Linked DNA regions of Macaca fascicularis. The protein of the gene in region 2 purifies or fractionates together with the protein of the main gene of each other region. This does not show direct contact. Links are inferred from orthologs where the notes say so. Each region holds a gene or a part of one and is shown on either strand. Other genes may lie near its edges.

What was found. Proteins that work in one complex are often made in the same cells at the same time.
Region 1: the proteins of BMS1 (region 2) and RCL1 purify together in Homo sapiens (co-immunoprecipitation; 4 studies listed by BioGRID and IntAct, with this or other methods). This does not show direct contact. The link is inferred for Macaca fascicularis from reciprocal best matches to the Homo sapiens genes BMS1 and RCL1.

What each region holds. Positions count from the first base shown.
Region 1 is NC_088389.1:94,285,422-94,288,921, forward strand, and holds part of RCL1 (RNA 3'-terminal phosphate cyclase-like protein), read right to left. Parts: intron 1,490-3,500; coding exon 1,314-1,489; intron 1-1,313. UniProt on the Homo sapiens protein: As part of the small subunit (SSU) processome, it plays a role in 40S-ribosomal-subunit biogenesis in the early pre-rRNA processing steps at sites A0, A1 and A2 that are required for proper maturation of the 18S RNA.
Region 2 is NC_088383.1:52,040,519-52,044,683, forward strand, and holds the start of BMS1 (ribosome biogenesis protein BMS1 homolog), read left to right. Parts: upstream 1-1,365; 5' UTR 1,366-1,413; exon of another isoform or gene 1,414-1,433; intron 1,434-2,992; 5' UTR 2,993-3,025; coding exon 3,026-3,201; intron 3,202-4,103; coding exon 4,104-4,165. UniProt on the Homo sapiens protein: GTPase required for the synthesis of 40S ribosomal subunits and for processing of pre-ribosomal RNA (pre-rRNA) at sites A0, A1, and A2.

The DNA.
Region 1 (3,500 bases), on a different chromosome or scaffold from region 2:
CCTTCCCCTCTTCCAACCTAAAGGTATTTATACCTCTTCTCATTCTTTTATGCAAAGAACTCATTTCCTATAGTCTTCTAGAAAATGCAAAAAATAAAAATAAAAAAACACTTAATTAAATATTCTAAAGAGTTTACGCAACATTCCTTTACAGCTTAAGAATTCCAGATCTTGTACTATACTCAGTATCCCAGGAAAAAGAGTTTATGCAGCTAAATTTCCAAGAATTGAAGAATAAGTTTTTATTGCCTAAGAACATATTAACAACGTTTATACCCTAGTAGGTATCTTGGTGAATACCAGCAGTCTCTACTTTGGGGCTCACAGCATCACCTCATTGGTCCTCCCTGAGTAGAAAAGCTACATAATTCACATTCTGCCTCAGAAGCTACCCATTCATTGGTCTTGGCCTGTAATGGTAAAGACAAGCATACTACCTCTGTCTGGACTTTGCATCATGGCCATCAGTTTTAAGGTATCTTCTCTGACAGCAGAGCATCCAAAAGCAGGGAATCCACGCCTCCCTACAAGGGAGGAAGGCCTGGACAGGACTTCTCTAGACTTCTCTAATCTCTCTGTATCTCTCTGACATACACACACACACACACACACACACACACACACACCATCCTAGAATGGCACGAAGACAGTTGTGATCATAATAAAAAGTTTTGCTTGATATTAAACCATTCTCTCCATATCTGCAGAAAAATTAGCATGTTTAATAAAAAGTTTGCTCTGGCATGGCTCTTGGTGAAAAAAATAAAATAAAAATGAAAAGCTTGCTGACACCCACAAACTACCAAATCTCACACATTCCTTTCCTGACTTTATGCCCTTTTTCTATCTGCAAACTCTTCTCAGAAAACAAAAGCCCTTGAGTTTATGATTGAAGCCTGGGTAAGTCAAGATTATGCTGTAGCAATGCCAAGGAACTATGATCTCCTGCCCAAAATTTGATAGGCTGCCCTCTAGCCTCAGCTACCACAGGACCTTACAAAAACTCCACTCTGACATACTACAGCCAACAGAACTATAGTTCATGTCCACTATGACTGCAAGCAACTGTTTTGAAGGTTCTTAGATAACAACAAAAGGCGCCTGGGTAACTGTTAACAATAGTCCTGAATTTGATGACCCTAAGTTTTGGTTCATCTGCATCCTGGAGTGATTAACCTCTAAATCTCAAGGTAAATAACAAAAAGAATATACATTTGAAATAAAACTGCTTTATGAGGAACTTTTGTCTCACAAGTCGGGTTGTGACAAGAGACAAAACAAAAACCACACCACGGTTTGTTCTCAATACTCACTGAAGGGTCAACCTGATCATTGGTCACTCCTCGTAGAACTATTTTTAACGGGTGCTTCATAAATGGAGCCAAGCAAAGAAGACTCTCCAGGTAATAGCCAATGCCACGAAGGACGCTACAGTCATGTTCCACAGATCCACCATACAGGAGGCCAGGCTGATAATATAAGGTTGTTCCTTAAACCAGAAGAAAAAGAGCCACATTCAGCAGGAAAAAAACTAAAATGTCACAAAGGTAATGAAGGCAGTGAGTTCCAAGGGGAAAGTCTGACAAGGGCATCCAAGAGTGCCTGAAATGCCATTGCTAAGAGCCCACACTTCACTCCAAAAGCTGACTCACTATTGTCAAGCCCCTGTAACAATAATAAACTGTGAATGTAATTTAATAATCAGTAATAAATTAAGCCCCTCCCTAAGCCATCTGAGTTGCCAAAGTCATGGCAGGGCATAGAATAGAGATCCTAATAAGCACCCTAGTGTCCCAACAGCACACTAGGCTGACAACAGAGGGGAATTACAAATGATGTGCTTAAATCATCACACCAGCAACCAGCACCCTCCAGGGCTGCTGAAATGAGATTTCTCATACACCTCATTCACCAAACATGATGCCAAGAAAAGGCAAGTACTTTATGGCATTCAATGCCATTAATAGTAGCTCATTTAATTTAATATTGATACATGGAAATGCCTAATATGTTATGGCTTTAGTGGAAACTACTATCTTTATTCACTTTTCACAAAATCATATCATTCAAAAAGCTTTGTTTTGAGACAGGGTCTTGCCCTATCCCCTAAGCTGGAGTACAGTGGCATGATCACAGCTTGCTGCAGCTCGACTTCCAGAGCCCAAGCAATCCTCCCACCTCAGCCTCCAGAGTAGCTGGGACCATGCCCAGCTAATTCTTTTTTCTTTTTCTTTCTTTCTTTTTTTTTTTTTTTAAGAGAAAGGGTCTCACTACGTTGCCCAGGATGGTCTTGAACTCTTGGGCTCAAGTGATCCTCCCACCTCAGCCTCCCAAAGTGCTGGGACCCTAGGCACATGCCACCACGCTCAGCTGATCTTTTTTTTTTTTTTTTTGAGAAAGGGTCTCACTATGTTGCCCAGGCTAGTCTTGAACTCCTAGGCTCAGCTTCCCAAAGTGCTGAGATTACACACATGAATCACCGTGCCTGGCTATCCAAAAAGCTTCTTACGCCCATCTCAGCTTCCCAAAGTGCTGGGATTACAGGCATCAACCACCATGCCTGGCTATCTAAAAAGCTTCTTACTAGATTTACATATCAATGTAAAAAATTGTAAATGATCTAGGAGGACATAAATGGTGGAACAGGGTATTTCTGCTGCACAAAATATTTTGCAATGCCCTCTGGCACAATTTACCAAAAATATATTTAACATTAGAGGAAGGAGGCATGTTCAGTCACTTAAATGGGAAAAAGTTCTTGGGACTTTCATAAAATAAATTTAGGCTTTACTATAATCCAAACAATCACAATCAGGACCATATTCTTATCAAAGTAATGAACACTTCTCAAATGGATTCTGGGTCCGTTATTTGAAATAGTTGTAAGGGTCACAAAACCATTCTTTAGATCAAAAAAACAAAAAAAAAGACTATATATTCACTACATCCTTCAAATCTGTATGTTTATTTATACAAATTAACCAAATGAGAAACTTGCCAGATTATCAAAATGAAGGCTTTTACTACTCTGATGGGGAAAATTAAAAGGACATGTAGTGGGAGCAGAATCACGTAAATGTCTTACTCCTCAATCTACATTGCAGATATGACTAGAAAAGAAGAGAATTGGGCCAGGCGCTGTGGCTCATGCCTGTAATCCCAGCACTTTGGAAGGCTGAGGTGGATGGATCACCTGACATCAGGGGTTTGAGACCAGCCTGACCAAAGCGGTGAAACCCTGTCTCTACTAAAAAATACAAAAAAAAAAAAAAAATTAGCCAGGCATGGTGGCAGGCACCTGTAATTCCAGCTACTAGGGAGGCTGAGGCAGGAGAATTGCTTGAACCTGGGAGGCAGAAGTTGCAGTGTGCCAAGATCGCACCACTGCACTCTAGCCTAGGTGACAGAGCAAGACTCTACCTCACACACACACAAAAAAAAGAATAGAAATATCTGTCTTCCAGATCACCAAAAAAGTTACTGAAAAAACCTCCAGCAAT
Region 2 (4,165 bases):
AGGATTATCTACCTGGATACTGAAATCTTCAAGAAGTAAGCGGTGTAGTGTGAAGAAGTTACAATATTCTAAGCTCTTCACGGATAAGGGAAGCATGTGCCACGTAGGTAGCCTCTCTAGTCCAGCACCCAGTATATAGCATATGCGGAATGAATACCTGGTGGCTGCTGAAGGCCAGAACAAGGTGCCTGTGAGAGGACCTGATGCCTGGGGTTCTCGTGACAGGAGTGGGCCTAGTTTTTGGTGTAGAATTAAGCCTTGAATGCACCAGCGGGATCATATTGAAAAGAAACCTTCTAAGACTACAGGAAGATGCATCCTCTGACAATGTACGCTCTGTAGGCATCCCAAGTAGCTGGGCTGGGGATTAGATGGACTCCAAGGCATTTCCTCAGGTGGCAACGGGCGGATCCCTGGGAAGGCAAAGCTGTGCAGGAAAAAAATGGCAAGATGCTCTATTCCCTCAGGGAAAGCCCTTTCCTGGGAGCAGGGAAAGCCCTTTCCTGGGAGCAGGGAAGGCGAGGCAGTTTGGGCTTGGTCAGTTTGTCCCTGCCCTCAGGGTTTGTTGGTCCTGGCAAAAGAGGGCCTTATTTTATTTATTTTTCTTAGAGACAGTGTCTTGCTCTGTCGCCCAGGCTGGAGTGCAGTGGCTCATCTCAGCTCACTGTAAACTCCACCTCCTGGGATCAAGCGATCCTCCCACCTCAGCCTCCAGAGTAACTGGGACCACAAGCACCACAGGCGCCCGGCACAACGCGGCTAATTTTTTTTTTTCTTTTTTTAGAAAGAGAGAGGTAGTCTCCCTATGTTGCCCAGGCTTGTCTTGAACTCCTGGGCTCAAGCGATCCTCCCGCCTCGGCCTCCCAAAGTGTAGGGATTACAGGCGTAAGACCCCGCGCCCTGCCAAAAGAGGGCTTTAGGGCACCCCAGAACGCGAGATTCCCCTCATCTGTCATCTTTAAAGAGGAGGAAGTGGACTCCAAATCGAGCGATAGTCCATTCGTCCCTGGTACGGTGATTGCCGGGAGGCCAAGACCAAATGTGTCTCCTTCCGGCTTTTGCACCACACTAACTAACCGGCGCCAGGCCGCAGAGCCGCCCTGGCCTTCGGCGAGGACTTGGGCGAGTGCGGTGCTCGCTGCTCCAGAGTCCCACCGCGGAAGTTGAGGCCGCAGATTCCGAGGGCGGGGTGGAGCGCGTTCGGTAAGTACCCGGACCCGGTGAAACGCACTGCGTGGACTGCGCCTGCGTCCGCACTCAGCTTTTCAGCAGTCTTTCTTCAGGCCCTGAAAGCCGTCCCCACGCCGGTCTCTTTTTTCTGCCTTCTTGTTTCCCTCCGGCGAGTCGGCGCGACGGTGAATTTCCGTTTCCGGCGGTGTCCATGCTGAACTGAGGAGTCGCAGTTGCCAGCAGGTTCAGTACAGCGGGCTGGGGTAGGCGGCGGTGGAGTCCCTGATTCTGGGGCACTGGGAGGATCGCGAGTCGTGCGCGTGGGAAGGTCCTTCCCCGGTCCTCCGGGTCATCTTTGCTCCCGAGGAGCGGCATATTTCTCATCTGCCGGAGGTGTCCTGTGGTAGTTGGGAGAGTGACCGGATGAATCCCTGCAGAGAGCCCGGACAGGGAGGGAAGGTGGCTGGGAGACGTAGTTTCCTGGCGACTTGGTCTCGGCAGGCGACTTAGTCCTGAGTCGGATCTGTTGACCCGAAATTGTGCTTTTCCCACCAAAAAAGGACAGGGAGAGAAACATTAGTACAAGTTCCGAACTAAAATATAGCAGAGAAGAAACATAATCATTGAAATCACACAGCTCTTCAGTTTCAAAGCGTTCCTAGCGCCTAGCTTTTCTAACTCCCGGCCAGTGTTCTTGACATTATGGTGATATATAAAGACTTTCTGTTTCCGCTGGTGTGTGAGTCTGTGGGAAGCCTCTGACTCACCTCCGTGCTCCAGTAGCACCCTGTGCAGCCTTCCAATGTCGCCCTTATTGCATGGCGCGGAAGATACTAGTTTGGATTTCCTCTGCAAGTCAGACCATAGCTGTATCCATTTACTGGCACAGTGCCTAGCACATCATAGACAGACAAAATATTTATTAAACTGAATGAATACAGTACCTTAATTGAATGAAATAGTATCCTGCTCCCCCCTTTTTTTTAAATCAAGCTGTCAGATTTTATGAAGCCCCATTTCCTAAAAAAAACTCACTAATTTAGTGATTACCAATTTATTAGCCACAGATTCCCAGGTAACTCAGAAATCACTGGAAGGGTCTCTGTAAGTTCATGGGGTCTCCAGGTATCATCTAGAACCAGTCCTATCTCACAAGTTAATACTTGACAATTATATATTGTCTGTTGTACTCTTTATAAAATGTGCTAAGATATTGCTATTTCTCAAATGTATATAAGTAAGTTGTAATTTAGGAGTTTTACAGAGTCAACAGGTACTAAAAGTAATACTGCGATCATATTGGAAGTTCATAAAAACGTTTTACATTTTTTTATTAAAATGTAAGTTTTAGTTTAAGTTGGGAAACCACTTCTTTACTCCAGTTGATACTTAGGTCTGAGCTGTCCGGTGTGGTAGCCACATGTGACTTTAGAGTTAGAATGAAATTAATTAAAAATTCATTTTTTCAGTTTCCCTAAGTATATTGTTAAGTAACCACATGTGGCTGATGGCTAAATGGCTGAAAAGTACAGATATAGAATATTTCTATCCTTGCAGAAATAGATACTGCTGATGTTGACACTTAAGATGAATAAAAAGTAACAGCAATAAAATGTAACTTTAGGAGAGGTAACTCATCTAATTTATAGCATAACAGAGAGAAATGAAATTGGCAATGGTTAAGCAATTTCTACCCTTGTTCAGTAAATAAATACATCATCTCTTCATAAAGAAATAAATGAAATTTACTGTTTTTCCCTGGGTATTGCCTGGATTGTAAAATGCTTCTCCCACCTCCTTACCCCAACCTTCTTCCTTGTAGGTTAGAGTTACTTGTTATTGGTAAATAGCTACAATGGAGACTAAAGACCAGAAGAAACACAGAAAGAAAAACAGTGGGCCCAAAGCTGAAAAGAAAAAGAAGCGGCATCTGCAGGATCTCCAGCTAGGAGACGAAGAAGATGCCCGGAAGAGAAATCCCAAAGCTTTTGCAGTTCAGTCTGCTGTGCGGATGGCTCGATCCTTTCACAGGTATGTTAGGGTACAGTGTGATCGTTCTTCCATTGATTCTTTTTAAATAGTAGGAGCCTCTCACAGGTGACATTTGGATTCATGAGTCTAGTCCAGCTCCAAAGGACATGGAGATGCGTGGTGTGTGGCTTTCACTAAAACGTGAGAAGCTTTCCCATAGAAGCTGCCTTGCCTCCAGCATCTGCACACTGGTTGGTGTTTATTGCCCAAGATGCAAGAATTTATAGAATTTGTTTGTTCCTAAATTTTAAACTGTTTCTATGGTGATAAGTGTGCTTTTTTCCCCCTAGGTATGTTTTACATAGTTGTAATATAAAATACAAAAATTACAATATTTAATACTAACATAGCTTTATTTAGTGTGCCCTTGTGATATGCCTAGCGGTATACTTTAAACATTATTCAACTAAATGCTTCCAGCAGCCTTACCAGAGTAGGAATCATTCTTGCCCTCATTTTATGGGTAAGAAAACTGAGGTCAAGAGAACAAGTTACCTCCAATCATGTAACCAGTAAGTAGGAGAGCCAAATTTAACTCCAGAGCCTCTGCTCTGTTATGATGCACTGCCTCGGTATTTACCTTTTGGTTTTTTTAAAAACTATTAAAATCACTCTTAAAACAGTCAGATTTAAGGAGTGTTTAATTTTCAGCTCTCTATGCTATTGAAGTCGTCTTGTTACATCTTTATTGAACAGCAGTTATTTGGATGGGGCCAGAAGTTAACAAGTTAATAACGGACAAGTTAATTATATATTGTCTGTTGCCCTCTCAATAAAATGTGCTAAAGTACTCATATATATAAATGTACTAAAAAAGTTTACTTATGAAGTTGATACCTTTTACTCTATTTTGAAAGTGAGTTTACTATTTATTTATTTATTTATGTATTTTTAATGAATAGGACTCAGGATTTGAAGACAAAAAAGCATCATATTCCAGTGGTTGATCGAACTCCACTGGAGC